Caenorhabditis elegans: one gene and its partners. The protein of the gene in region 1 purifies or fractionates together with the protein of each later gene. This does not show direct contact. Each region holds a gene or a part of one and is shown in the gene's direction. Other genes may lie near its edges.

Region 1 (6,875 bases):
CAAATGCTTGACTTGTTCTCGGAAACTGAGAGGTTGAAACCAGAAGAGAGTTGGTATTGCTCGACGTGCAAAGAGAATGTGGAGGCTACCAAGAAGCTTCAGTTGTATAGGTTGCCGCCTGTTCTGATCATTCAGTTGAAGAGATTCGTCTATACAGGTGAGATAATTCTGGAAACTTACTTATAAGAAGGGATTACTCCGTATGAACCTACCTGATTAAAAAAATAGGTGTAGGTAATTTTTGTAGGCATGCAGGCAGGTAAGCATAAGTTTCAAAAAATCTCTCGATTTTTCAAAAAATCTATTGTATGGACTTTCAGCATTCACTTATCAATCATCAATGGCTCGTCGAAGCAAGGACACCCGATCAGTTGAGTATCCATTGGAGAGTCTTGATATGTCTCCGTTTTTAGCAGAAACATCTCCACATCCTAATTCAACGGTAACTATTCACAGTAATTATTTTCAAAAAATATTGAAATTTCAGATGTATGATCTAACGGGAGTAGTATGCCATAGTGGAAACAGTTACTTCGGTCATTATATTAGTATGGGTCGACTCGCCGATTTTGATTCGTCGAAAACGAAAATCGAATGGAGGAATTTCGATGATTCGACGGTGGCTCGGCAGTCTACGAGCACTTTACAAACGGAGGATGCTTACTTACTCTTCTATAAAATGAGAGATCAGAATGTGACGAGGAGTATATTCAAGTGAGTTGGAAACCCCAAGAACTATAAATCTGGGAAAGAATTTCCTGAAATTCAAGAAAATCGATAAATCCTGAGAACGGCTTTTTTTGAGACGAAGACGTTCAAATAATTGAGATAGTTTCCAGCACGGTATTGATAGTATGATAGTTGATTAGAAAGCACTATTGTAATAAGCAAATTGATAATTGAATTTGTAAGCATTGGATAAAAGTGAGAACTGATTGATTCAGCTTCAGATTTGGACAATTTATATATTCCAAATCTAAATAATAAGTTCCACGACCGAGGTCACGCAAATTGAAAATTTTTTTCTTAAATTTTTCTTTAAAAAATTAAATAAAAATTTTGGATTTCAATAATAAGAAACCGTGATTTGCTTGTTTTTTCAAAACTTTTAGGCAAAGATTTCATAAATCGCCAAAAAATTGTGAATTTCTGTGGTTATTTAAGATATCCTGCAGGTTCGAGCTCCTAGAATTTGAAAAAAACAATTAGTACGAAATTAGTAAAAAAAAACCAGGATAACATATTTTGACCGACTTACAAGGTAATGCTTGAAAACTGAATGTTCAGAACTTTTTCACTGGAATAAAAATTTCAAAAAAGGTTTTGAAAGTTTTTCCATAATATTTTTTATTTTGGAACTAGTTGTTCATTTTCAAACTGATGAGTTTTTTTTTTTTTTTAATGATTTAATTTTTAATGATCACCGCGCTGGGTTTTTATCAAAGTAACCTATTCCGATCAATGAACAATTTTTTATTTCAGACGCCACTACTCGTGTGATCCTGGAGCTCCAGAAGAAGTCAAAATTTAGTCATTTTTCTAGATTTTCATAAATTCATCAATTTTTTTTTCCACGTGTTGTTCATTGTCTTCATTTCTTTCAAAACCTGTTACCATGTTTTTAGATATTACATCTTTGATTTAATATTTATATATTTTTCATTAATTTTCCTAATTTTATTGATTATTAAAATAACAATTGTTTGAATCCACGGAGACCGGTTTCAGTTTTTTTTTTGTTCCCCGAAGAGAATAAATTAATTTCAAAATTAAAATTCTGTCCTTGACTGCAAAGGAAAAAAAGAAAAAAGAAATCAAGATAAGCCGATGAAAATTGATAAGAAGGGGAAAAGATAAGATACGAGTTCCAAATATTATCTGTTTTTAGTTCAATGCATTTTGAGGCCATTCACGTGCCATTTTGCAGGCCTACGTGCCTGCCTATCGCCTGATTTCTGAATTTTGGCCCGTGATATATGACGCCATTGTTTTGTTTTTTTTTCACATAAAATCACTGTCAGTGAAAATTTTTAAAGATCAAAAAAATAACCAAAACAATTAATTTTTGATCACAATTTTATCTGACCTGAATGGTTTAAAATGGGAACATTATCTGTTTGGGAACCTTCAAAAAAAATTTTTTTGCTTTTTTTAAAATTTGCTTTTGGTTTTTGAAAGCTTTTTCTAGGAATTATAGGGTCTGTCATCATTGTAGGTTCTTCATGCGAACGGGCCTACGTGCCTGCCTACAAATTATTTGCTTCGCTTTCAAGAGGACTAACATGTTTCCTTTCAGTAGAGTGTAGGCATGAGGCAGGCAGGCATTTTTAGCCACCTAAAAAATTTCTGGAAAATAATACTACGTGTGTCTTATTCTCTTACCATAACTGACCAGCTGCCAAATTTGTTGGCAAACAGTTTTTGCCCTCAACAAGCTAACCACCTGATTCTCTTTCTCTCTTCTCTTTTTTGTGTTTCTTTGATTATTTGACACGTGCTATCAATCGCATTTTTATTTTTTTATTTCAGAATTTTCTAAATTAAAAAAAAAGCATATCGTTATGTCAAGTGAAAACCAGAAAATCGTGGTTTTCGGAAGTATCGTTCAGGATCTTGTCAGGTCTGTTTTTTTTAAATTTTATCTTTCATTAAACAATTTTACATTATAAACTACCAATTTCCAGCTACACAGATAGTTTCCCAAGACCTGGAGAGTCGGTGCGCGGTCACAATTTCAAGCTGGGCTCCGGCGGAAAAGGCGCCAATCAGGCAGTTGCTGCGGCTCGCCTAGGGATCAATGTCTCAATGATTGGAATGGTTGGAGAAGATATGTTCGGAGATTCTAATATTAAGGATTTGAGCAGCAATGGAGTTGATACAAGTTGTGTGGGACGGACCAAAAAGACACATACCGCCACAGCGACTATCACTGTTAACAAAGAAGGTTTGTATCCGAGTTTTGGCGGGAAAAAAATATTTAAGATTATGTGTGGCCTCTTGAATGTCTTGAAGAAACATTCAATATTTGTAGCAAGACCCTACCTCTAAGAAAAAATTGCCAACCGGGTTAAGAATAAGTTCCTATAGCTATATCTGTTCTTATAGCTCGTAGATCACTGAAATTCTAATTTTGTTCTGAAAACGATTTGTCTACGTTCATAGAATCTATTTTCTCTTTCTTTTTCCCCCATTTTTTTGGTGACGTAATATAAATAACTTATTATTTCGAAGAACCTTCAGTGACGACGACAAACAAATAACTTTGAACTGGAACTAATAGTAAGAAGTGGGGGAGAGAGGGTAAGGAGAATTACAAATTTTTAGACTCAAAAAGTGAGCTCAAAATGTGATGCATCTAGTAGAAAATTGGAATTTGACATATGTAGAAAAAATATTTCAAATAGCATCTACAGACATGAAAAGTTCGATTTGTTACAGTGCAATTGAGGTGTAAAACTATTAAAATATGGTAAATTCGAAAAATTAAATTTTCTTGATTTTCAGATTTACATGAGACTTACATTATTTCAAATCCAAATTCCAAAATTTCCAGGCGAAAACAACATTGTGGTGACGCTGGGTGCAAATCTTGAAATGTCGCCTGAAATCGCTGATGCGAACTCTTCAAAAATTGCTGGCTCGAAAATGGTCATTTGTCAGGGAGAAATTGACGAAAAAGGAAATAGAAGAGCCTTCGAAATTGCTAGAAGTCACGGAGTCACCACTTTTTTAAATCCAGCTCCTGGGGATCCGAATATGGATAAGACGATTCTCGAGCTGGTTGATATTATTTGTACCAATGAGAATGAAGTAGGTCTATGTTATTTTTTCTAATCAATTGAACTTTTCCAAATATTGTTCTGAACAAAAAATAAATTAAATTTCAACTTTCCAGGCGGAATTCATCACTGGAATCGCTCAAAACAACGTGAAAGACGCTGAAAAAGCAGCACGTGCAATGCTCAAAATGGGACCTCAACATGCGATCATAACTCTCGGAGGCAAAGGTTGGGGGACTTACACTGGGATAATTTGAAACAATAAATTTTTTTTTGAATTGTAGGTGTCCTGCTTGCATCCAAAGGAGTCGATGATGTTGAGCATACCGCCGTGATCAAAGTCGATGCAGTTGATACTACGGTAATACTAAAAAATAAATTTTGTCCGAGCTTGGGTCCCACCACAATATATTTTTTGAAACGAAAGAAATTAGTTGCCTTTCTAGTTATTTTTAGTTAAAAATGTTGTGCATGGGCCTCTAAAAAACTACTTTATCAAAATCAAAATTTTTGGCGCAAGTTTTCTACAGTAACCTGGAGGAAATATGAACAAGATCAATCTGCATATAGGTATAATATTAATTGAAAATTCCAGGGAGCCGGTGACTGTTTCTGTGGTTCACTGGCTGCTCATTTGGTTGCCGGCCATCCGATTTCCGCATCAATACGCTCGGCTGCCAACTTGGCCGCACTTTCTGTGACACGTCATGGAACTCAATCGAGTTATTGGAAGCTCGACGAGATTCGCCAACAATACCCGGAATTCTTGCCTTAAAACTTATTACAGTGTCTTTCAAGAAATTTGTGATTAGGTCTGAAATAAAAATTCTGCTTTCCAAACACATTTTATACTTTCAATATGTTTTAATTAGCTGTTGAACATTGCAGGGAGCCTGAATTTTTTGAAAATTTGGAAATTTACCGTTTAATGTTAATGTTTGTTCCAAAATAACACAATTCTCCTATAATGAATTTCTTTCCCGTTTTGTTATTTTCCTTTTCAACAAATTTAAATGCTGAAAATTTAATTTCCAGAATCGCATAGTCATTGTGTATAAAGAAATTTGCGTAAATTCAATTATTTCATTGTTTTCGTTTTTCGAGCGAGTCGAGAGCTTCTCCGATAAAAATACAGACGAAAGACAAGAATGATGAATTAAATAATATAAGAATGACGACAAATTGGAAAATGTTTAAATAGTAGATGGGACGGGGGGGGGGGGGGAGGTCTTAAACTAACATTTTACGAAAACTGATCCGCTATTTTCATGAGAGACTTGAATTAGTGTCTAGTAGGGAGGAAAATTGAGAAAGCGGTGTGCCAAAAAGACAGAAATCCTTCCGGCGGAATGAAGAAAATGAGATATAAACCGGGGGAATAGTCCGTTAAAGTAGATAAATAAGGTTGGGTGGGGAATAAATATACAGTGGCGGGGGAAGAGATAAAACTTTAATGGTACCGAATTTGTCTTTTTGTTAAGTTAAAAAAATTAAAACCCATAATTCAAATTAAAACACAAGTCTGAGTCAATCGGGTAAAACATACATGTTATATGAATAGCGGAATAAATAAACGGGCGAGAGAAATAGATATATACTTTTTTTTGACAAGATTGCACATAGGTTGAGAATCGACAGTAGATTTTGGGTTGGTTGAATTTGGCAGAGGAAATAAGGCTCTTCCTGATTAGGTACTGCTTACTGGTGGAACGGCGAGTGATGCTACAGATGGTGGCCCAGTCATGTTCGGGTCAGCCTTGTCGTTGGTGAACACTATCAGCAGGTAGCGGGTCTGAAAATTGGAAAAATTAGGTAAGAATTAGGCAAAGTCAGGTAGAAATCTGGGTTATTCTTTGGAAATTTCTATACAAAAATAGACAAATATTTGTACTTTTTGAAAATAATTTTACTTTCAATTGAAAATTTCGTGAAGTTGCTTCAAAACCGCCTCAAAGTCGAAACTGAGCCCAGGAAATGTGTTGATTGGCTCATCGATATTTGAGGCTCTTTTGAGCAACTTTAAAAATATTTAATTATATAAGAAAAATTATACTCAAAAAGAAAAAATATTTCTCTATATTTCTATGTAAATTTTCTGAAAAACATTTCGACCCAACAAAGATAAAAATGGGATTTTGGAAATGCATCGCACAAATCTCACACTCCCAAAATCCATAAAGTGGCTAGAATCAAATCCTAGTGGAACACCACAAGGCCAAAAAAAATTTCAAAAAAACTCACGTCAGTGTTCTGAAGGTAGTCATGCAACGAGGTGGCCAACTCGGACAGATATCGGTTGACAATCTCGCCTGGTGCGAAAACGTGGACCCGGGCACTTTTGAACTTCTGAAATGACAACAGTTATTGATTCCAGTCCAATAAAATTTCCAAAACTTACCGTCTCGACTTCTCCAAGACTCGAAATCCCAGCGATCTTCTTATTGATAAGGTAGTCGATGAAGTGGGATTTCAAATTGGTATCATTTTCCTTCAGGTTCTCGATATTGTTGACCGACGAAAGTGCAAGACAGCAAGCGTACTCGGGATTCGTGAGAATTCGGTAGATGTCTGAAATTTAGCATTTTGATTAAAAAATGCCGTGTTTTTCCATTTTCCTTCCTTATTTTTCCATGTGTTTAATCTCCTATTTTCATTCCCCTCCACTTCCGATGTTCATGCAAACGAGAGTATGAAAGAAGGAGAAGCTTTCCGTACAAAACATGAATCAGTTGGGAGGGGGCGAAACGAACGAAAAAGGGAAAAGACGGAAGTCGGTCAGATGGGGAACGACGATGACAAAAACAAAAAGTGCACCGCGACCTCCCAGCGCGCGCTCGAGTCTAGAAACCACCACACTGCCTATTTCGGAGAACAGATCTTTAAGTATGTTACTGAATAACTAGGGTTTCGGTTCAAAAGTACAATAGTATGGGGTAACAAACAAGATAAGAGTGTTCTATGGTTTTACATTAGTTGTAGAAACTCGTAGATCAGTTTTAAACTAAGAATTTGATTCGCCGATCCATTTCAAAATAAAACCTTTGCCTCTGGCTTCACTTTGACAGCTTATATCTCGGATATCTTTGGCCTGATACA
Region 2 (8,121 bases), on another chromosome or scaffold:
AATGGAAACCAAGAACGACGGACACATTGTTTGCGTTTGCTCAATTGCTGGGTGGTCTGGTGAAACGATGGGACTTTCTTACTGGTAATTTAATGTTCCAAAGTTTTTGTTTTAAACTTTAACAGTTACTTCAGCACTAGCAAATTTGCGGTTCGCGGAGCTATGGAATCCTTACAAATGGAGCTCAGAGATCGCGGATTAGAGGGTATCAAAACAACTACGGTTGGTTGTTGCTAAATTATTGGCTAGAGATATTCTCGTTTTCAGCTCTACCCATATTTTGCAAGAACCCCAATGATTTTGGAAAATAATATGAGACCTACATGTACATGGTTCCCGTTCATGAGCATTCGGTCTTGCTCGAAAAGAATGGTAGATTCTATTTTGAAAGAAAAAGTGCACGCTTTTGTTCCCTCGTACATCACACTCATCCCTTTTGTGAAAAAGTAAGTTTCTCGGTTTCGTTATTTTGGTTTCCATGGTGAATTTTTATTAAGAACATTTGTTTTGAATTGTAGATGAAATCGGCATATTTAAAAATAATTAAAGTACTTTTTAAGTGTCAATATTCATGTGCTACTTATTAAAATGGCGAAAAATTAAAAATCAATGCCCTGTTTTCGCGTCTTATTATTATTTTTTTGAGAACTGTACAACTTTTCGTATTCGCAAAAAGAGCTGCCCGAATTGTTTTTCTGTCTGCGTCTAGTTTGTCTTTACACGCTCTATTATTGAGGTCACCATTGGTGTCCTTATTGATTCAGATAGTATCTCCTCTATTACACGAAGACACCCCTTCTTCTATCGTTTGAGAGAATCAAAAAAAAAAGAAACCAACTATTCATCTCCACTTACTTTTTGATTCTCGTACACTATGTAGAATATAGCCAACTAATGATAACATGATAAAATCTAATTTTTTATTTCAGTTTCTGCTCTCTTCAAGTGTGCCGGTCGCTTCGTAATTATTTGGGTGTTAAGTATTCCGCTTCAGATCCATCATTTTGCAAACTGACACTTATTGAAATGTCGGACTATTACAAAACTCCACAACTCTTCTGGTGGCTCCTCATTGTTCCAGCTCTGGCTATCAACTACGTAAGTTTTAAGGTTTCAAGTGAAAAAAAACTATGTTTGATAAAAATAGATATTTCAAAGCTTCCACTTCGATCTATATCTTTGATTTTTAGATTTCTTACGCCCATCCAGCAGCAGCACTTAATATTCCATTAATTGGATCTCTCGTCCATAAGATTGGAACTGAGTATCCATTTGTTGCTCTTTTAACCAACCTTTTCGCCCTTGTAGCACACGCCGGTGAAGCTCTTTACGCTCTTTATCTCTGCCATAAAGCCAATATCAGGTGAACTTTTTCAGTTGATTTTATAACAAATTGTATTTTCAGTTTTGCTTCTACCGCAAAATGGGTTGTCCAAACGTTTATTCTTGGTTTCCCGTCACTCTCTATTCTCAGTCGATACGAAGCCAAGCAGAGGAAGAATAATTGACTAGTAGTTGAAAATGTGTCTGATAGTTCCTAAAATGTATTAATTTTGTTTTTTTTTGCCAATGCAATGAACGACCATTTATTATCAAATAAAATGAAGAAACTCAACGAAACATTCTCAAATAAACAACATGTCGAGAGAAAGGCCAGTGTGTGCAAAGACGCAGAGAAGATCACTGCAAACGCGCTCCGTTGAGGTTGCTGTGTGAGATATCTTGGACAACCCCGCGCATTATTGGACTGTTTTTTGTTGTTTTATTGATCATGTAGTGGTCAATGAGCAGGTCATTCTTGCCTTCGCTGTTGCCAGAGAAGGTCGGCTTTTTTCTTCCCTGTTTTTGGTGATTTTGCCGTTTTTTTTTGTGTATTGAGTGTACTTACTGTGTGAGTCTTTAGATTTTCCGTTTCACGCATACACGTTTTTTGTAAAATTATTAGTTTTTGTAGGACTCTCGGTTCAAAAATTATAGAAAACGTGCAGACTGGACTATGAATTATATTCGAAGTTCTTCATTGTAACATTGTGAGGTCGTCTTTCCAACTCTCAACCTATCCCGGTGATTTTCTCGGTTTCTCTGCGTGTGTGTGTTCAGAGGACGAATACGTGCAAAATCGCAAGAAATGGGCAAAGAGAGAGAGCGGGGCAACTGCGCTTTGGGTCCATCAGAAAAGAGAGATAGACAACTTTTGTGAAAATCTTGTTGCGGGACAAGGGCACCGCACTTCTTGCTTTTCTCTTTTCTGGCCAGGCTATTTACTTCGTTGCTCAGTTGCCATTTCTGCATGTTTTTCTTATTTTTTCTACTAGTCGAAGTTTTCCTTCATAATCAATATAAAGAGAGTTTTCAAGGCATCGCTGTTTATCACTTAACTGACCAAATCAAATCGGTCGTCCTTATCTTTCTCCATCGAAGTTATACACGAAACTGTTTTTCTCCATCATCTTACTTTTTTCTTTTGTGAACTGCTGATGTCGTTGTTCATTTTATCATGAAAATCATTGTTTTTAGGTTGAACCATGCTCCGTGCTGCATCCAGTATCCGCGCTGTGGCCAATCGTGGATTGGCAACTGCTGCTGTTGCCAGACCAGGAGTGTAAGTTTCTGAAAGTTGTATTCGGTTTTGAGATCAATAGGTTCAATTTCAGACCACTTGATGAACGTGAGGGAAAGGAGATTTACACTACTGTAGGAATCGATTACAATGAGCCAAAGTTCGACAAGATTTTGATTGCCAATAGAGGTAATCTCAAGCATCTAAAAGAATCTTAGATTTAATCGTCTATTTTACAGGAGAGATTGCGTGTCGCGTGATCAAAACTGCCAGAGCTATGGGAATCAAGACAGTGGCCGTTCACTCAGATGTCGACAGCAACTCGCTTCACGTAAAGATGGCCGATGAGGCTGTATGTGTTGGAGAAGCTCCAACTGCCAAATCCTACCTACGTGCTGACCGCATCTTGCAAGCTGTCGAGGACACCGGTGCTCAAGCGGTAAGAATTCTAACGTGTCTATGTAATGGAAGGATAAACCGCAAAAATCAAATATCAGAGGAGAATGTAAATTCTGTGGCATGAATCTACATGCACAGTAGCACAAACATATTACCCAGACATCCGACAGAGAATAGAGTTTTTGCAAAAGTTCAGAACACCGCTCCAAATCAACTACTACTGTTCAAGAAGTCAGAGCGTTCGCGCTTAACTTCAAACGGAGAGAATAGCTTAAAAAAGTTGCTGACTGAAAAAATGTGAAATAAAACATTCCCTACATTTTGATAATGCTCAATTTTTTCATGCTCATATCACCTGGCTGAGATATGAGGGTTTGAAGTGATGAAGCTCTAGAGTTCCCTCTTATGGCCTGTTGAAAACTGTGGTGAGGTCAAATTATGAAAAGCACGAATTACCGCATTTTTCAGAGGACAAGCTAGGGTCAAACAGTTTGACAACCCGAGCGAGAGCTTTTGGCTGTGTAGCAGCTTAAGATTTACCGTAATATATTAGAAACCAGTTACTTGTAATATGCACGTGATATTCACCTACTTTCACTACGAAACACAACAAAACAAAAATTCTGTGACAAGTGACCAAGTGGTCTCTTTCCAGTCTCTAGCATCTCGCGTGTTTCATTTTCAAATAGTCAAAGTCAAATGACGAGAGATAGATTGCAAGTGTCTTCTGTTATGTTTTTCAAACAGAACTGCTAAAAACGTTGAAAACATATATTTGCAGGTTCATCCAGGATATGGATTCCTTTCCGAGAACACCAAGTTTGCCGCCGAGCTTGAGAAGGCTGGAGCCAAGTTCATCGGACCAAACTCTAAGGCTATTCTTGATATGGGAGACAAGATTCATTCAAAGAAAATCGCTACCGCAGCCCGTGTCAGCATGATTCCAGGATATGACGGAGAAATTGCTGATGAGGATATGTGCGTGAAAGTCTCCCGCGACATTGGATACCCAGTCATGATCAAGGCTTCTGCCGGTGGTGGTGGAAAAGGAATGCGAGTTGCCTGGAACGACAAGCAAGCTCGTGAAGGATACCGTTTGTCCAAGCAAGAAGCAGCTTCTTCTTTCGGAGATGATCGAATGCTCGTTGAGAAGTTCATTGACAACCCACGGCACATTGAGATGCAGGTGCTCTGCGACAAGCATGGAAACGCTTTGTGGCTCAACGAGCGTGAATGCTCCATTCAGAGAAGAAACCAGAAGGTTATCGAAGAGGCTCCAAGCAGCTTTGTGCCACCAGAGATGAGACGCAAAATGGGAGAACAGGCCGTTCAGCTCGCCAAGGCTGTCGGTTATGACTCTGCTGGAACCGTCGAATTCCTCGTTGATTCTCAGAGAAACTTCTACTTCTTGGAGATGAACACTCGTCTTCAGGTAATATCTCAGTATGGCCTAAATGTTTAATTTTTAAATACTCACAGGTCGAGCATCCAATTACCGAGTGCATCACTGGAATCGATATTGTCCAACAGATGCTTCGCGTTTCCTACGGTCACCCACTTCCAATCACCCAAGAGCAAGTGCCACTCAACGGATGGGCTTTCGAGTCTCGTGTCTACGCCGAGGATCCATACAAGGGATTCGGTCTTCCATCAGTCGGACGTCTCTCCAGATATGTTGAGCCAAAACACGTCGACGGAGTTCGTTGCGACTCTGGAATCCGTGAGGGATCGGAAATCTCTATCTACTACGATCCACTTATCTGCAAGGTAAAGGATAAATTAGCATTTAGATAATTTCAAGTGACTTACTTTGTAATTTCAGCTCGTTACGCACGGAGACAACCGTGAACAGGCTCTGAACCGCATGCAAGAGGCTCTCGACAACTACGTCATTCGTGGAGTCACTCACAACATTCCACTTCTTCGTGATATTGTCCAAGAGAAGAGATTCCGTACTGGAGACATTACCACCAAATATCTTCCAGAAGTGTACCCAGAAGGCTTCCAGGGAACCAGCCTCTCACCAAAAGAGCAAGACGTTGTCATTGCCTTTGCCTCGGCTCTCAACGCTCGTAAACTTGCTCGTGCCAATCAATTCTTGAACCAGAACAAACAACGTAGCACTCATGTGGCTTCCTTCTCGAAGACCTACAAGTTCGTGTCTTCTCTGCCAGTGAAGGAGGGTGAGAGGCCAACCGAGCACGCTGTTGAAGTCGAATTTGTCGAAGGAAGCGCCAACAAGGCCCAAGTTCGTATTGGTGGAAAGACTGTGACTATCAGTGGAGATCTCAACTTGTCTCATCCAGTCAACTCAATTGAAGTCGATGGAGAGCACATCACCACCCAAATTGTTGGCAAGCGCGCCGGAGAGATCACCGTTCTTTACAAGGGAACTCCATTCAAGGTCAAGGTGCTTCCAGAGCAGGCCGTCAAGTACTTGCAGTACATGAAGGAGAAGGCCAAGGTTGACTTGTCCACAGTTGTGCTCTCACCAATGCCAGGAGCAATCAAGAACGTCAACGTTAAGGTAACATTATTTTATCACTACCATTAGATGTGCTAAAACTGATTCAATTTACAGCCAGGAGATATGGTTTCCGAGGGACAAGAGTTAGTTGTCATGGAGGCTATGAAGATGCAGAACAGTCTTCATGCTGGAAAGACCGGACGCGTCAAGGCCGTCAATGTGAAGGTTGGAGCCACAGTCGACGAGGGAGAGGTGCTCGTTGAGCTCGAGTAGATTATTCTCACTGAACCTGAATTTTTTTTGTTGTTTTAATTACCGTTTTTTTCCTAATTTTGTACAATTCAAAGCCGCCACTATCTGGTATGGAGATTGATAATTTCATTCGCAGTTTCTCAAATTTCAAGCCATATTTATATTTTATTTTTGATGCCATTACCCTCACCTGTTGTATTCCAATCATCACGGACGTATTTCTCAGCCACCACCCTGTTTTGTTGCCCCAAGTATTATGTAGTGAATAAATATTGTAGAAGGCATTGCAAAAAGGTTGTTATATGAAGAAAAAAAAGCATTTGCTCATTTTTTGAACTTTTCAATTAGAAAATTATATATCTATTCTGTTTCTACATAACATAAGTGCAGATGTTTTGTTGATTAAATTTTCTATTTTTTGTGAAATAGCTTGTGTAAACTAAACATTTTACCATAGTCCATAATTGAAGCTCGGAAATAAGCGTTGTGAAAAAACTTGTCAGTTTGCAAATCTGTTTTAAAAATTTCAGATTTCTCTTTTTTATGTTCTTCTTTCATGTATCTCAATTTCAAAATATTGAATAGCAGTGCCAATTGATTATTCTGAAAGAAAATTGACAAAAAGACGAGTTGAGACGAGAAGATGAAACAGAAAATGATGGGAAGAAGAAAAAGAAGAATTTTTCTTCCAGTTTTTTTTGCCGTTTTCTGTTCTTTTCAATCTCATTTTAACTCACGTTTTTTGGTTTCGTGTGAGTAGTGTCACACTGATATTGTTAAATTCTGTTAACTTCTAGTTGAGAAAATAAATAATGTCAATATTTTAATAAAACTTACTTGTAGCACTTTCAGATCTGTAAGATGTCTAGTATCGGTATAAGTAGATACGAAGACGGGGAAGAGAACTGTTGCACAGCCTGCCTTGAATTTATGCATGAACGGAGGAGCCCACCATCATGCGAACACAATTGTGTTGCATGTTTTTATTGTAAGTATAGATTTGATTTTTTTTTGAGTTGAAGCTTGATTATCAATAAAACGAAGTGCTAGTTGAAGTTTTAAACAGTTTAAATCTAACTTTTTCGAAAAAGTGGGTGAGACCCGTCCCTTTCCAATATGTGTTAAATTGATTTCAAATTAAAAAGAGAAGTTTGTTGTATTATAGTATTTAGTCTTGTTATTTTTTTAAAGATGAAAATAGGATCAACAAATGAAAAGGGTTTTGTCATGACTCAGTATGTTCTACACTCTAACCCAAATTGTTTTATATGATGAATGCTTGTTTTGTTTTCAGTATTAATTGCTCGACGAACCAATTGTTTGATTTGCAACGTGACAATATACGAGATTGAGCGCATCTTCAAAGATTTGAGGAGCAGGGTGAATATTGAAGCTAATAGAATGAATTGACTGTAATTGAAAATGAAAATGTGTTCTTATATGTGCATCTTCTGTGTATCACTGTTTTAATACAATAATACAGATTTTTCTGTCACGTGGAATTCTATACTTGAAGAGAAAAGCTAAACGGTGGACTTTGTTGAAACTATTTTGAGCTAAATATCGTATTCAAAATCGTAGGGAGTTCTTCTTTCACATATTATCCTTGCATTACTAAATCAGAACTCCCAAAATTGAAGTTCTCGTGAACGTCTGTTCCATTCAAGTTGTTTCGTACTAGTCAGAAACATAAAACTATTGTCGGAGCCCAAAAGGATTTTTGTTGTTGTAGGAGGCGGTACCATGAACGAAGGTACCACCTTTGTAAACTTTCAGCTATATATTTCAGACTTTAACATCAAAAATTACGTAATAATTTGTTTATGTTTGTTTTTTTTTAACTATTTACATTTCAACATTTTATCATTATGGAATTTGTAAGCCCTAAGAAACTTTTCATCATTCATTATTCTCCATCAGCTGATCCATTTTCCTGGCAGCTGAAAAGAAAATGTTGTGGTCAAAGGGGGCCTGCGTTGAAATTCGCCGACGCAATTTAATAAACATTGATTATTGCACAACCCTTCCATCGCCTTTCGTTTTCATTCTGTTCAGCGGAACGAAGCCAAACTGGCGTCAACATTTCTGAGCAGTGGTCAATGAGCAAGGAGGTCTCCCCTTTTCTTTCACGCGCGGCATCACGCGGAAAAGATTCTTGAGCACGCGCTGTTGCGCAACCCTGAAAATTGGGGGGACGACGTCTCCTCATTTGAAATAGTATCGAAAAATGAGAGAATATAAAGATTTGAACGTCCACACTGCTTCGTTTTTATTAATTGCCAAAGAGTCTCATGCGGAATATCGCGTTTCAATCTCGAGAAACTTATATCGCAATGAATGGTCATAACTCGGAGCAGATGAATGCTCCAGGGACTTGATTTCTTATGGAGAAGTTCTGGATTTTGTAGGAAGGAAATTTAGAACAAACATCTCGTTGCCTGGA
Region 3 (6,907 bases), on another chromosome or scaffold:
AAGCTATAACGCAATCGTGTGCACTTGCAAGAAACTGCTCGAAAACAACTGCAACTCCCTGAGTTTCGTTTACAGAGACACTTCGCCGTCTGGAATTGAAAAGAGTAAAACATCAGCGGAACGTTATTTTACGTTTTTCTATTCAAATATAAGCATTCACCAAAAATGGTTTAAACAAACGTGACATTCGAAATTACATTTTGCCTACGCTCACTGTTACAAAAGTATTTCCCACGTTGTCAGTTTTTCAACCATAAACAAATTTTTAGTCCGAGGACATAATCCACAAGTACCGATACTTTTTTATACGTTTTTGAAATATGACCTCTCAAGTTCATTTCGTTCGATGAAAACCATCCGGATCCCCAGGGTTTTGAATTACAAGTTCAGAGAAAATTGTTGTAGACCGTTTTGTTATTCCCCCTGTGAAAAATGTGCTTTGCACTTTACCAACAATCACTCATCAATAACCTAATCACTGGCATCGAACGTGACAAAGTCTCTCCGCAGGAATGTATTTTCAATCGAGACTGCACACCACTATTATCACAAAACGAATAGCTGCTGACTAGAGAAACGGATATCAGTTCCGAAAAATATCTCATCAATTTATGATAATTGATGGACTTTCGCAAAAATGTTTGGTCTATCAAGTTCATGTGGCGGAGGTAGAGGTGTTTTTTGTGTAACTAAGTAATAAGATCTTGTGTTGAAAATACTTACTCTGATAATTGTCCAGTGTATGGTTGTGGAAAATTAGGTGTGGAAAACAAGATACCATCTTGAAAAGCAACTGAGGTCCGGAAAAAAATGATGAAAAATAAAGGAATCAAATTTAGTTTTGTATACATTTGTGTTGCCAGCCAACCACGAACAGTTAAAAAATGACAGTACTGATAGGAAAACCGCACATCGTGTTGATTGAAAATGTTTCTATGCTCACAAACTTTTAACGATTTTTCTCTTTGTTACATTGTTATATTTACTGATGTTTTTTTTTGAATAAGAATTATATTTTTAATTGAATTGTTTAAATTGAATTTTTTGCTCACATTGAAGATAACAAACAATACTTAAATTTCGAAGTTTATTTGAAATTCCATCATTAATTTTTATGATTTTCTGCTTCAGATCTCAAATTCGATGTAGTTTAACGTTGAAACAAAAAATGAAGGATGAGAAAGTGTAAGCCATTAGAAATCCAGATGTCTCAGACGAGTGCGTCATCCAATTATTTTCCAATGGTACCTTTGAAGTGTTGAAGATATGGGAAAAATGAGATCGGCTTCTACCCAGTGACTGGAAGCAACTTAAACAAAGTGCAATCTACAAAATTTCGATCTGAAATTGAAGAAAGAAAAATAAAGCAAACCACAACAAAGTGATTCTTTTCTCTATCTTTTGTATCTCTTGCTCCTACAAAATATTTTTCATGCGAAAATATTTGAATTACACACTTGAAAAATAATTTGAGAAAGGTATTCCCTGACGTACCGAAGTTTCAAATTACACACACTCTCGGCATCTTTATACAATATCACTCTTACTCTTTGAACTCTCTGAAACATAATATTTGATCTTTTGATACATGATTTTCAGATTGAATGTGGAGTTCCACTGCTGAATTACAATATGGAAAACTTACAAGGTGTTGGATAGAAAAAAGTAAGAATGAAAACAGTTTGGTTCATATAAGTTTATTATAAAATAATTTGTTTTTAACTGAAAAATTGTCAGCTTATGTTTTTACCATTTTTGGGATTCATCTCATTTTGAGACCTAGAAAGGCAATATATTTTAATTTTTAACGCGACTGGGGCATTTAAGTGTCCTATATCGTTTTCCACATTGCTCTATTCGGCCAAGTCTGGTAGCTTATTCTCTGGTTTCTTTCTAAATAGGAAATTATGCAGCTTATTGTAAGATGAGGCCAATCAACTAAATTGTTCTTTGACCCAATGCTAAACCTACATAGTTGAATTGCAATGTGGTCATAAAGAACCGCGAAGAATTGACATTATGAACGTACAATGCAGATATCATCAATGAAACCATGCACAATGCGCACGCCGCGATTTGCAAAAATGTGCACATCATGATCGTCCTATTGTGACAGGTCTATAAATCCATTGCTTTCGAGTTGCTCAGTTTCAAAGTGGCATTTTCATTTAACAACTTTTGAAATCCTTAATACTCATACAACAACCAGCGACGTCATTTCCATCCGTTCCCAAATTGCTCATTGATTCCGATTTCAAAATACTCTCAAATATCCTTTGTGAAGCGTGTCTCGTCAACTTTGCCTTCGCCCTGCAGCTCTTCATTGAGAACTTTGTAAAAATTTTGGGATCTTCAACGTCGACGAGAAATGAAGAGTTAGGTGGGAAGTGCCATCCCATCCACCTTTCTCCTCCTCCGCAAAATCTGTGGGCAGCTCCGGGGGGCTCCCGGGACATTCATCTTTCCCATCTTTTTTCGTCGTTTCGTTCTCCGACTAGCGACCAGGAGGCGGAGAAAGAGCTTAGCAGCAGAAGAAGTAGAAATTACAACACCTTCGTGAAACAGAGAAAAAGATAAAGGGAAAATGGGACTCTAACAGCGACCTCTTGGCACTTTTGTCAGTTGGAAACTACAAGCGAGACATCATTTTTCTCCTCTTCATATTTTTTGTTCTCCTCTCAAATTTGTTTTTTTTAAATTTATTCTTGAGTGCTGATCTCAATGCACAAAAAACATGACTAAAATCAACTGTTATATGTACAAAAAACCAGTGATTCAATTTTCGAAGCATTTTTCAACCTTCAACCATTGGTCTTTTTGCCTTTTTCTTTTTTTTCTCAGCATTATAAAGTGTTTTCCCTCAAAATACTGTTGACACATCTTGTCTAGATCTTCTCCAACATTCCCCTACTTGTGCTTGTTCATTGAGAACATAAAACATTGTTTGCTTAGTTCTCCCACCCAAAAGCCACTACGAACTACCGTTCAAGAAGTCTTTCGTCTCCTATTTTCCTGTGAACTCAATGGATAAATGATGGTAAAAACACATTGGCAGATCATTTTTCATTCGCTCTTGGCGGCGCTCTTACCTGATCAGAAAACACGCCCCTCTTTTCTTTTAGTGTGTAAAACTTTAGGTTACCGAGATTCCGTATATTCATGGCTTCGTATTCAATCATAAAACTACAGATTTTAATTTTTTCAGATATGGCACCACCATCAATTTACGGAGAACCAAAAATTAGATCAGAGAACGGGTCGGTGTTCCTTGAGGTACGAATTTGCTTTTCCTTTTGAAAATTGCTAAGTTTTCTTCCAGGTCATCGTCACTGGAGCTGATGTTTCTAAGATTCAGTGGTTTTTCGGACCAGACGAGCTTGAGGAGAACGAGTTCCTGAAGTTCTCAAACAGTGACGAAGGAGGCAACCGCACCAAGTTTGTTGCCGAAATCAAGGTCAGTTTGAGAGCAACTGTTTGCCAAAGCATCTCGTATAAATCACATAAAACGACTCACGAGTCATTTTATGGTCCCATTGCTGCGATGCGCTCTGCAACTGTTGTCTGTATGTGTTTTGATCTGCGTTTAATTGGTTTTTGATGGACTTACCGTAGATTTTGGGCAAAAGTGCGGCAAAAGCAGAATTAGCTGTCGGTCGGGAGGTGAAAAGCAAAACATAACAACGGTTAAGCATTTGATCAAAAGGAAACTCTAAGTACATTCATCATTACAAAATACTTTTTACTTTACTATATTCTTTATTTTTTTCGTATCTCACATTAAATATACATCAATAACGTGAACTGTAATTTTGAAAATTCAGTAAACATTAAAAAAAGCCGTGCAGTTTGAACTTCACATTAGGAACTATAATTGTAAAAGTTACTAATGATAGTAGTAGTTGAAAAACAAACCACATAAGCTACATTACTGGTAAAACGGAAAAGCAACTGAAAAACTGTCCAACGGTCCAAAATGCCGCAGACTGAAAAAAAAAACTGATGTCCGCCGGTGGTCTGTCTCCATGTCAGCCAATAAGCCGATTGTCGACCGCCCCGGTCGCAAATTTCGTTTTTCTAAGCTTAAAAAAAAACTCCGAACACAAAAACGATTTTATCAGCTGCCATTGGGCCGCTTCTGAGCAATCCCGCTTTACCTGTGATAAAAAATAATCGGAATTATGAATTTTAACTGTTAACAAAACACCTTTTTGCTTCTTTAAATCATCATTTTATAGGACTTTGATAAACCACTTGCCGGAGAATACAAAGCCGTCTTTGCCAACGCCGATGGAGAGAACAGCTCTAACTTCACAGTCGCAGCAGGAAGTGAGCTCATTATCAAAAACACTAAAAGCTTACACATACAATTTCAGACGCCCCAGACTTCCATGACAAGCCACATATTGTTCAAAGAGATAACGGAAATGTGATTGTGATTAAGGTCCGCGCAAAGTCCCACCTTGAGATGAAGGCCGAATGGTTCAAGGTATGTCTGTCACCTTACTTTGAATCTTAGGGGAAAAAATTTCCCTGAATTCTTATTCGGTATTTTTCTTGGCATTGCTAAATTCATTTTGGTTGAACCAGAATAGAGCTTCTCGAAGATGGATCGACTGACTGACGTGTCTTTTTTCTTTTGTCTTCTTTCTTCCACCGAAGAAAAAAATGTAGTTGTCCTAATTTCCACATTTATGTTAGTCGAAGTGAACCTCTCCGGCTTTCTCAAGGGGATTCAAAATAGAAAGGCAGAGATGGGTAATGTAAAGAAGTGTGGAAATAAGACAAAAGTTGGGAGGCCTCCTCGTCCGCGCCTTTGGGTTGTGCCGAGACAGATACTTGAGGCTCATGGAGCAGATAGAGCGAAGTTTTGAGTAGTGAACAAAAAAGAGAAATGGCGCAAAAAACTAAAAGCAAAAAGGTTCAATAAACATTAAAAGAATTCACTTGTTGTCTGGTTCAAAATGTAAAATGAAAAATGAAAAATGAACATTTCAATGGGCATGCTTGGAACCAAGTTTGAGTTTTTTTGGAATGCTTTGATAAATAAAATTAACAAACTTGTTTTGGAAAAAATTTTCTGAACGACCGTCTAGTATAAATCATTTTTAAATTAACAGAAAAAAAGTAAATTTCATATTTTTCACTAATTCATTCTTCCAGGATGAAAAACCAGTGAAATTCACTGACCGAGTTAAGGCTGTTGTAAAGAAGGACGATAAGGACAAAGACGGATTCCAATTCCTACTCGAAATCACCGGACCACAAAAAGACGATGAAGCAAAATACAAGTGCGTTGTCAAGAACTCCGAAGGACAAAACCAACAAGCGTTGAACTTGGTTTTCGATTAATTTTATAAATTTTCCCTTGGTTTTTAATTGTCATACAATTCAATTCATAAAGCCTCAAATCAATTTTCATGTTAATCGTTGCTTCTGATTTTCGATTTTGGTAGTTGCACTTTCCGCTTTTTTTTCTTCTGTAACTTTTAACGTTTTGTAGTATTTGTCTTCTCAAAGTAATTTGAACTTTGTGTCCCATGCACATGAATTGGTATCAGCCAAAATAAAAAAGTTTCTTGACACATTGAACATGAGAAGATATACTTGCAAGTACAGAAATCAATATATATATATACAGTGCTGGCCAAAAAGATATCCACTTTCAGTTTTTTGACGATTTCGATATTTTTTCCAATGGGCATAACTTCAAAACTAGGAAAGGTACCAAAAAATTTTCAACTGGTAAAATGTAGCTCGTGATCAGGCCTATGTATTTTTACATGTTGCAATTATTCATCCATCACATGGCAAGTAATAAAGCGGCGGGCATCTCGTGAGTCCGTTTTTGACGATGATTACTAAAACGACTGTAACTCAAGAAACATATTTTTAATGAAAGGTTTGAGAAAGTAACAAAATGTTTATTTAATTTTTCATTGTTTGAACATATCAACTTTGTCCTAAAACCTCCATTTAAAAAAATGTGTGCGCTGAAACTAGTGTCTCATTAGACACTGTTTAGAGGCTTTGTTCAAAAATCAGGTTTCTTGGATTGAAAATCTTTTTCCGACAATTTTTGTGAAGAACTGATGTTGTTATTATATTTGAACTACATATTAACCAATAAACAGAATTCAGAAAAAAAAATCTACTATTTTTGAGACATGAGCTCGAGATTACTCTACACTTCTCTTCTTTAAACTCTCTTGTCTTTTTCAATGGAGGTTTCAGGACGAAGTTAGTATGTTCAAACAATAAAAAATTATATAAACATCGTGTTACTTTCTAAAAACCTTCCATTAAAAATATGTTTCTCGAGTTACAGTCGTTTTAGTAATCATCATCAAAAGCGGACTCACGAGATGTCGGCCGCTTTATCACTTGCCATGTTTTGGGTGAATAATTTAATCATGTAAAAATACATAGGCCTGATCACGAGCTACATTTTACCAGTTGAAACTTTTTTTGATAGCTTTCCTAGTTTTGGAGTTATGCTCAATGGAAAAAATATCGAAATCATCAAAAAACAGAAAGTGGATATCTTTTTGGCCAGCACTGTATATACGTGTCTTTGCTGTAATTCAGTGATGCAGATAGTAGATAGTGCTTTATCATTTTAGTTTTTCAACAATTTTTGTAAACTCTAGTGTTTATCTAACAAAATAAAACCATAGAACAAAATAATATTGAAAATCATCCAACGGGCAAAAGTTTACCTAGTCCAATTTAGACTACTTCAGTTGAAACAACATTTTTGCTATCACTTTGAGAATGCCGCTTTTGAATCTGCAATCTACGTGTGCAAATTTTAATATCTAATTTTATATCAAGTTGAAAACAATCTAATAAGACATAACCCCGAAAATCAAAAAAAAATTGGTAACCGGCTGCCTGTTTTGAATTGAAA
Region 4 (9,088 bases), on another chromosome or scaffold:
TATTCATCCGAGATTATGTAAAAGTATTACTATGAGGCAACAGGAGAGGGGAAGACCAGGACAATGTTATCTTTATTGTCCATCAACATCATATTCCTCTTCCACGACAACATTCAATCGGCACCTAACATATACCTGATGAATGAGAAATGAAGAAAAACATCCCAAATAACGGATATTGGTTTTGGAGCTGACTGGCAAAAGGATGCCATCAATCTTGACTCGGTCTCTAAAGCCTTTCGGCTATTCCAAAAAATTCATGCTTTTTTTTGGAAGACGAAGCAGGAAAGGAACGATTGAAAGTGAAAAACGCCTTGGGCTTCTTGAAAAAGAGAGGAAAACTTTTATTTTAGTTTTCTCTTTCCGACAAACAAGGGCGCTGCCGGACACTGCCGGACACAAGAGACAAGAATAACTTTTTTCTGACAACATAAAGAAATGAATAGCGCACTGGGAATATTTTTTATATAAAAATTTTAGAATTAATAAGCTCAGAATGGATTATATAGTCTCATGAGTACATAAATATTTAAAATTAAAGAAAGTGTATTCCAATGAAGAAGGAATAAGAATGTTATGTAATGATGACGTTCATCGGTCTCATTGTCTCGTCCACTTGGGAAGAACAAGGTTCCAATTGGCACCTTCTCGTAGTGGCCGTCGTAATATCCCTACACTAATCCTCCTTACACGGCTAATGTACTCTTATGGGAAACGAAAAGAACATGAAAAATGCGAGATAGGCAATACAGTACAGTCTATATATTTATTTGCATTTTGCAATACCATATAGAAATTCGAAATGTGCGTCGAGAAAGAGAAAAATAAAGTGTGAAACGTATGTTTGCCGTAATTAACAAGCGCATTCGACGACTAGAGGTGCGTGCGCGCTCCGCCGAGCCTTTCCAAGGTCTGTAAACACGGATTGGAGCGATAGAGCGGTCAAGACTAGAGAGACGTAGGTGGTTAGACACATGTTCTTCCCGAATGAAGAAGAATCTCCAAAAAAGACCGGTCCGGAAAGAAAATCTATGAAGCTATTCCAATTCCCATCACTGAATCCATGAACATGGTGGAGGGCTGAGAAGTCAAGCGTGACCGGCAGAAGGACATGGAGATCCGGTGCCTATCGACTAGCCACAACTGGTGAGCGTCGAAGAAGAGAAGATGTTGTGATGAAATTCGAGATTGTCAGCGATAATCGAGAGACTAGGTCAAGTAGTGGAAACGCAGAGAAAGGGGGAGACGATGACGTGGATGCTCTTTAATACAGGTTGAAATAAAGAAAGAAAGAAAGAATAGACTGAAAACATATGAATAAAAACATTATAAATGTCGAAGGAGACAATATGAAAACATGTAGGGAGCGGATGATGGACGGTATTCTAATAGTAATAGTAAACGAATAAAAGAACGATGTGAATCGGGTCAAAACCAAATTAGTTTCGAGTGTCCTTCTGAAGAGGCTAAGGGATTCAAAAGCGGATTTCATGATGATGCGATTACATCTGATCCTACAGTATTTTATACTTTAACTCCATGTGTCACTGTAAAATATCGAGAAACTTGAGAGCAGTGTTGTCTCGATTTACTGAATATATCAGTAAAAATGAATAGAATATTTCTAAATATTGCGAAAAAACTGATAAATTGTGCTTCAATTTATAAAACAAAAACTCAATTAATTCAGCCGGAAATGTCGAAACTAGGTCAATAAAATTCTCTGATTAAAAAACCTATTTTAAAAATTAGAAAAATGCTATGATATTTTACGAGTCGTATTCAGTATAACGATACTGGGTTTGAAATTTAAATAATAAATAAAACCCACAAATTGATCAAAATAATTTCAATGCTTTCAAGTTCATAACTCAAAATTGTCATTAAAAATCGGGTAAGTAAAATAAATGCGGATTTGTATAATTCATGACCGACAAAATAAGGATAAAACTTATTAGCATCATAATGGATGTGTTGAGCGGCGGATGCGGGCGGCACACACTCAAAAGAAGTAAAAGAACATGCATTGTTTATCCGCGGCTCATTCGTCATAACAAGCTCTAATAAAGTAATAAATACCTAATGGACGTGAATAGAACGAAGGAAAAGGACCAAAAAAGGATATGTGACACCTGACGCAAGTGTTCTCTACCGATTTCACTTCGCTTCTGATACACAATTACATTATTTTAGCATCGTGCCTGGGAAATGAAGTCTTTAGGGAATCGTAAAATTTAAACCATCCGTCGTTCTGCACTAATTGATCAAAAGTGAAAGGGCAAGGGAAATTCAGCTAACGAAGCCGAATTTATTTGTCAAACTGAAGCTTAAAAGCATTTTTTGAAAAAACTATAAGCACAAAATAATATTTCTTACAAGTATATTCAATAGAGTTCGAAATTAAACATTCGTGAGGGATGTTCAATCGTCTTTTTATCCGATGGGTAGTACCTGACAGTAACAATAATAACTTAACCTTGAGACCATAAGTGGCAGACGGTGAAAGGATTCGAAGCGCCTAATTGCCATTGGAATCGGGTCATTTGTGTTACTAATGTTCCGGGATACAAAAAAACAGTGAAACGTGTAGACACCCTGATATCAATATTTATAGGAACAAAGTTGAAACTGATACATTTTCTTGAGGGTTTGAGTGGGCCGAAAGATTGCAAAAAAAAAGTCAAAAAGTGAGCGAGTGACTAATGTAAATGGAAACTGTACAAACATACTGAATAGGGAGGGAAGAGGTCAGAATAAAAGAAAACTCTTTCCTATTGTTGCCAGTAATGGACGGTGAGATCCAGAAAAACAGAGAAGGGCGGTGCGGTTTGAATACGAAATACGGAAAACGAGAAAGGGATTGAGAAACAGCTGGCGATCTATACCACAATTAGCATAAATAATAAGAACCTCATTAATGAATATCGTGAGGAAATTTTTTTTTTTTGAAACCTTACTTTGAATATAAATGTGTTTAGCCAAATTTTTGTAATTTTGAGCACACAAAAACGTGCATCGATATTATTAATAAGGTCTATTATCACATCTAGTTGGAGTTTAGAAGGATTTCCCGAATTAAACTGAACAAGCAGTACTAGCGGGTAATATTCTATTCAAAACCTACAGAATCCTGATTCAAATAGTAATTTTTAATCGCCTAGGTGTAATCTAAATAATTATCAACATTTCCATTTACGGAAACAAAGAAAAAAGAAAAAAAAACAACAAAACAAAAAATTAAAATTCAAAAAGTGCCGAAATGAAGAGAGACAGCTGTTGCCTGAAGAGACGCAGCACGCTGGGTCTCGCAGCGATTTGCCCACCGCGACGTTTGCGTACACGGTGGATCGCGCTGTGACATGGAACTTTACAGCAAAATCAACGTTCTTTTCGGGATTTAATTAATTTCTAGCTCGATTTCTAGCTTTTTTATTTTGAAAAATATAAAATAATCTTTATACTTGTTCCAGGATGTCATATCAGCCGCCACCAAACGGGCAAATGCCCGGATATCCTCAACAGCAATTTAACCAACAGCCGCAGTTTCAGTCAAACGGATTTCCCCCTCCAGGTGAGTTTATATGAACATTTGCATAATACAACAATTGTTTTAGCAGCGCCGCAAAAGCCAGCTCAAGTCCCAGGTGGATTTCCTCCACCCCATCAGCAACCAAATGGACAGTATCAAAATGGAGGCTTAAATGGAAATTCGTCTCACTTGGCACAATCTGTGAATAATATGTCTATTGGAGCTAGATCAACTCCGTCAGCACAACCCCCAAGTGAGTTGCTTTTTTTTCGCTAATCCGTTAAGTTTAATTTTAAGATCCGTACCAGCCAGCAGGATATCCCGGAGCTCCACCACAGCAATTGCAACAAGTACAGAGACAGCAAACTCCTCAACAGTTCGCCGCTGTACCTCAAAGTGTTCAAGGTAAATAGTGTTTATAGAGGCAAAGCTAAAACTTCTATTTTAGCTCCTAGTGCCACACCTGCAGGTCCACTTCAAGCAATGCAACAAGCGCCTGCTCCGACTCCGGGAATTCCGCAAATGAACCAAGGAGCTCATCTGCCGCCACAACCACATCAGATCCATCAACCCACTCCGCTTCGACCACAAATCCCTGGTTTTCCACAGGCAGGCGGCTCTCCAAGTTCGTTCCAAGCTGGAGCACCCACTTCACAAAATGTTCAAGGCTACCCAGGTGGACCATCTTCTGCTCCTAGCGCTTACCCAGGTGCTCCACAAGTGCCTCAAGCGCCCAATTCGTTCATCCCACCTGGCACAGGAGGATTTCCACCAGGACAACCCACAGCGGGCTCGTTTCCACCCGGTCCACAAGTTCCAGGATCATATCCCTCTGGCCCAGCAGATATTCCACAAGGCCCAGGCATGCCAAGAGCATTTCCTCCGGGAGCCTCAGCTCCAGTTGCACCAGGGATGCCAGGAGCATTCCCTCCAGGACAAGGAGGACCAGGAATGCCGGGATCATTTCCCCCGGGAGCCCCAGGCCCAGGAGGACCAGGAATGCCAGGATCATTCGCTCCAGGAGCTCCAGGCCCAGGAGGTCCCGGCGGATATCCCTCAGGAGGTCCAGGTATGCCGGGAATGCAAGGTGGATACCCCGGCGGCCCACCACAGCAACGACAACAACGTCTTGATCCTAATATGATGCCAAGTGCTGTTCAAGTTATTGATGATGATTCGTCGACTCGTAGCGGGATCTTCCCAACTGGATATCCGAACGCTGAATTGCCGCCACTTGTTTCTACAAATTCTTTCGCTCAAGATCAAGGAAACTGCAACCCCAAATTTATGAGATCAACCCTCTACACAGCTCCACAGACTAATGACATTTTGAAAGCATCGCAGATTCCGCTCGCCGTTGTCATTTCGCCATTCGCATCTCTGACTGAATATGAGGTTTTTTTTTTAATTTTTCAAAAATGAATAATCAATTATTTTCAATTTCAGAAAGAACCACCAGTCGTCGATCTGGGACCACAAGGACCGATTCGTTGCCAGCGTTGTAAGGCATACATTTGTCCGTTTATGGAATTCCAAGATGGTGGACGCTCCTTCCGTTGTCCATTTTGCCATGCTCGAACTTCTGTCGAAGATGCTTATTTCGCCCATCTCGATCATACAGGCAGAAGAACTGATATTGAAATGCGTCCAGAACTCTGTCTTGGAGCGTATGATCTCGTAGCTACAAAACAATACTGCAAGGTACGTAATTAAAAAAATCGCAATTTTCAAAAATTCTAAGTGACATTTTTAGAATGGAATCGCGCCAAAAGAACCGGCCTTCATATTTATGATTGATGTATCCTACAATGCTATTTCAAACGGAATGCTTCCAATTCTTTGTCAAAATCTGGAGAAAGTACTTCGAAATTTGCCAAGAGAATCTGGACAGCTCGAGTCGTCTATGCGTATAGGATTGGCTACATTCGATCAGGCGGTTCATTTCTTTGACATTTCGTCGGCATCTCCAAAAATGCTCGTAATGTGTAAGTTTGATAAACTTATAAAAATTTGTCTAAATATGTACTGTTTTTAGCTGATGTTCAAGAGCCATTTGTTCCTATGGTCGATGGACTTCTTCTCCCTTACAACGAGGCACTTCCTGGACTTCGTGCCGCATTGGCTGAAATTCCTAAACTCTTTTCGCAGTCGAAAACCACCGAAACCATTCTTCAACCCGTCGTACAAGCCGGTCTTGACGCTTTGAAGTGTGCCGACAGAGCAGGAAAAGTGATTCTGTTTTCAACTGTTCTACCAACATATGATGCACCGGGAAAGCTGAAATCCAAAAATGATCGATCTCTTCTCGGGACAGATAAAGAAAAGAATGCACTGGTTCCACAAGAAGATTCATACACGAAGTTGGGAGAGCAATGTGTCAAGTCAGGAGTTACTGTCGATTTATTCCTCTTCCCAAATGCTTTCATTGATGTTGCCACAATTGGTCAGCTTTCTGCAGTTACGGGAGGATCTATTTTCAAATTTCAGTATTTCTCGGTAAATTTAAAGAAAAACCAATAATTTTATTAATTTTATTTTTATTTCAGGCCGATAAAGACGGTGTTCGCATGTTGAATGAGTTGGAACGACACGTTTCTAAGAAAATTGCATTCGACTGCATGGCAAGAGTAAGAACGTCTACAGGAATTCGTCCTATCACTTTTACTGGCTCCTTTTACATGGAAAACTCAACGGATTTGGAATTGGCTACATTGGATGAAAGCAAAGCATTCATCACAGAAATCAAACATGATGATAGTCTGAAAGATCCAGCTTCCTTCATTCAAACCGCTGTACTGTATACGTCGATGACTGGACAGCGCCGTTTGCGAATTTTGAACTTATGCCTTCCAGTTACTGCTGATTACAACCAAGTTTACCGACTTGCTGATCCGGAAGCATTGACAGCATTCATGTTGAAGCAAGCTGTTCAATTGAATCGTGACAAGGGAAGCTCAGAAATGAGAGAATCACTTTCTTCTCGTTGTGCACAATTCCTAGCGACCTATCGAGAGAAGTGTAGTGAAGGTGCCCCACTTGGACAACTGATTCTTCCTGAATCTCTGAAATTGATGCCGCTCTATGTGAACTCTATTTTGAAAAATGATGCGATCAGTGGAGGAAGTGAAATGACAGTCGACGACAAAGTGTGGCAGATGGAATTGATCCGTGGGCTACGAACTGAAAATGTCATGCCTCTTATTTATCCAAGAGTTATGCCAATCTCTGATCTACAAATCAATGATACTGAAGAAATGAAGGATCTTCCAAAACCTGTTAGAGCGAGTTCTGAGTTCCTGGAAAATTCGAAAGCCTATATTATTGATAACGGTGTTATTCTGTTTGTCTGGGTTGGCTCTGCATGCCCCCAGACATGGGTTCAAGACGTGTTTGGTGTTGGTGCTACAAATCAAATTGATACCGAGAGTGTAAGTTATCAATTGCTACGTTCAATTAGTCAATTACATTTTTCAGGGAACAATTCCGGAAAAAGACAATGGTCATTCACGTGCTCTTCGTCGTGCAATTCAACTTTTGCCACGTGGGATCCGAGAGCGAAAAACGTTCGTTGTCGTGGAAAAAAGCGGCCTTGAGCCATGGATGAAGAAATTTTTAGTGGAAGACAAGGCTGGTCCTGCTAATATGTCATACGTTGATTACCTTGTGGATATCCATCGCAAAATCCGCGATCTCATTTCCTAAGTCGTTGATACTGTGATAGAATTGCTTCTCTTGATTGTTCCCTTTGTTCTTCCTTCATATTATTTTGATCACGCCAAAGCAAATCTTGTGATTAGAAATGTTGGAAGAATTAATATTTTGTACCGGTTTCTTTGTACACATTCATTTCCTTCCCTCTCGCCGTACTATTTTCTTTTAATATTATGGAGCATGGTTTGTAAAAATTAAGATATTAGCTTTCCTAGCACCTTATCAGTGCAAAAATAGAATTTGTTTTATCTGCTTTTTCCCAGATTCCTAATTTATTCTTTTCCAGTTGCTCTCGCGACTTTTAGAGATTTCTATTTATTGTTCCTTTTTTTGTAAAATATCCCCTATTACCCCGTCCATATAATTTATTGTGATTTGAAATGGGATCGAATGTGTTTAATTTGATGGTGTCTTATGAAAATAAAATGTTTTTGATTAAACATTTGAGAATCGAATATGTTGACTTTGTGAATATTATATTTTTGAAATTCACTTCGGTGTAATGTTAACGCGCTCTAACGCAATTTGCCGCGAAATTTCAACATTGACAAATTTGCCTTCTTGAATTGATTTTTTTCTTTATTTTAAGAATGGAAACCGCTTGGTCCAACATCCTAAACTATAAGAATGTCTCAGATCGATACATTCTCACTGAAAAAGATAAAAAAGGTATTTATATTTTGCTCTAAGCTTTAAAAAGTTATTTTCTTTCAGGTGCGTTCACTAGACAGTACTTTGAAGTCTACGAAGCTCGCTTGAAGGAACTGAAACCTCGTATTTTGGAAAATGCAGAACGTGAAATTGGTTAGAATTATAATATTACTAATAAACCTTAATTTTTATCTTCAGGCAAGGGAAAATTCACGCATTCACAATTGAGCGATGCTAAACAAGACGAGGAAATCTTCGTGGTCGGCGTTATTGTAAAGAGAATAGCTGCAAGACCATCAATTTTGAAATCGTTGCTCAACGAGGATAAAGTGGCTTATGATGATTATGAAGAAGATGCCGAAGAAGACGAAGTGAAAAGATACGCTGGAAGCATTGAAGATCGAATCGAATTGGAATCAGATAAACAGACAGTACGTCTGGAAGGAAATATTTCAATGGATGAGTGTGCAACTGGTTGTTGTGTTGGAGTTCTTGGAAAATTAGGAAAAGAAGGAGTATTTCATGTGAATCGTTTGGTTTGGCCATCTGTAAAAGTTCCAAAGAAAGTGGCTGTCGACGGGACTATCGCTTTCGTCAGTGGACTCGATCTAACTGGAGATTTGGAAGACGATGTGAGTATTAATTCTGTAACTTGAATACTATTCCAACTTTAAAATTGTGCTCCAAAACTACGGTACACGATCTCGAAGCGACCGATTTTTGTTAATACAAAAGAGTGCGCCTTTAAAGAGTACTGTAGTTCCCAACTCCTCGTTGTTGCAGATTTTTCATTAATTCGTCAAAATTTGAAAAACATTTTCACATGTTTTTCAATAAATTTCAAAGAAACGGATGAAAAATCGAAGAAAATCTACAGAAGTTCGGAACTACAGTAATCTTTAAAGGCGCATAATCTTTTGTTTTCTGTTTTTTTGTCTAATTTAAATCGAAAAACAACCAAATTACACCTTTTCTCGGATATTTTAATCTAAGTATTTCCACTTAATCCCGGACTTCTGAATGAAATCTATGCCATTTGAAAGAGCATCTTTTAAATAGGCCCCTACAAAAATTTAGCAGCAGAGGACCACTTTGATCTGGAAAAAAGTCTCCCTGAAAAATGTTCAGTGCATTTTTCCACAACTTTCGAGGTCTGTGAATGGCTCCAAATGTGAATTTTTGTAGATTTTTGATGAT

What was found.
Region 2: the proteins of F07A11.5 (region 1) and pcca-1 fractionate together in Caenorhabditis elegans (co-fractionation; one large-scale study listed by BioGRID). This does not show direct contact.
Region 3: the proteins of F07A11.5 (region 1) and zig-12 fractionate together in Caenorhabditis elegans (co-fractionation; one large-scale study listed by BioGRID). This does not show direct contact.
Region 4: the proteins of F07A11.5 (region 1) and sec-24.1 fractionate together in Caenorhabditis elegans (co-fractionation; one large-scale study listed by BioGRID). This does not show direct contact.

What each region holds. Positions count from the first base shown.
Region 1 is NC_003280.10:11,609,776-11,616,650, forward strand, and holds F07A11.5 (Ribokinase), read left to right. Parts: upstream 1-2,524; 5' UTR 2,525-2,561; coding exon 2,562-2,620; intron 2,621-2,684; coding exon 2,685-2,944; intron 2,945-3,553; coding exon 3,554-3,810; intron 3,811-3,895; coding exon 3,896-4,007; intron 4,008-4,063; coding exon 4,064-4,140; intron 4,141-4,374; coding exon 4,375-4,554; 3' UTR 4,555-4,616; downstream 4,617-6,875. Other genes in the region: F07A11.4 (ubiquitinyl hydrolase 1), read left to right, coding at 1-157, 321-442, 488-714, 1,483-1,531; din-1 (Daf-12-interacting protein 1), read right to left, coding at 5,467-5,571, 6,021-6,125, 6,178-6,347.
Region 2 is NC_003284.9:7,655,383-7,663,503, reverse strand, and holds pcca-1 (Propionyl-CoA carboxylase alpha chain, mitochondrial), read left to right. Parts: upstream 1-2,517; 5' UTR 2,518-2,525; coding exon 2,526-2,602; intron 2,603-2,654; coding exon 2,655-2,749; intron 2,750-2,799; coding exon 2,800-2,999; intron 3,000-3,740; coding exon 3,741-4,391; intron 4,392-4,438; coding exon 4,439-4,726; intron 4,727-4,781; coding exon 4,782-5,486; intron 5,487-5,540; coding exon 5,541-5,699; 3' UTR 5,700-5,992; downstream 5,993-8,121. Other genes in the region: dhs-29 (NADP-retinol dehydrogenase), read left to right, coding at 1-84, 135-222, 268-446, 930-1,098, 1,191-1,363, 1,406-1,508; F27D9.12 (RING-type domain-containing protein), read left to right, coding at 6,540-6,666, 6,973-7,088. UniProt on the Caenorhabditis elegans protein: This is one of the 2 subunits of the biotin-dependent propionyl-CoA carboxylase (PCC), a mitochondrial enzyme involved in the catabolism of odd chain fatty acids, branched-chain amino acids isoleucine, threonine, methionine, and valine and other metabolites.
Region 3 is NC_003284.9:8,760,702-8,767,608, forward strand, and holds zig-12 (Ig-like domain-containing protein), read left to right. Parts: upstream 1-3,205; 5' UTR 3,206-3,207; coding exon 3,208-3,273; intron 3,274-3,319; coding exon 3,320-3,454; intron 3,455-4,235; coding exon 4,236-4,326; intron 4,327-4,373; coding exon 4,374-4,486; intron 4,487-4,631; exon of another isoform or gene 4,632-4,777; intron 4,778-5,160; coding exon 5,161-5,349; 3' UTR 5,350-5,579; downstream 5,580-6,907. Other genes in the region: M02D8.5 (CUB_2 domain-containing protein), read right to left, coding at 1-89, 724-851.
Region 4 is NC_003282.8:11,560,575-11,569,662, reverse strand, and holds sec-24.1 (Protein transport protein Sec24C), read left to right. Parts: upstream 1-3,468; 5' UTR 3,469-3,471; coding exon 3,472-3,571; intron 3,572-3,614; coding exon 3,615-3,782; intron 3,783-3,826; coding exon 3,827-3,934; intron 3,935-3,977; coding exon 3,978-4,924; intron 4,925-4,975; coding exon 4,976-5,230; intron 5,231-5,282; coding exon 5,283-5,514; intron 5,515-5,564; coding exon 5,565-6,025; intron 6,026-6,075; coding exon 6,076-6,957; intron 6,958-7,003; coding exon 7,004-7,231; 3' UTR 7,232-7,677; downstream 7,678-9,088. Other genes in the region: pold-2 (putative DNA polymerase delta small subunit), read left to right, coding at 7,831-7,909, 7,955-8,044, 8,090-8,523.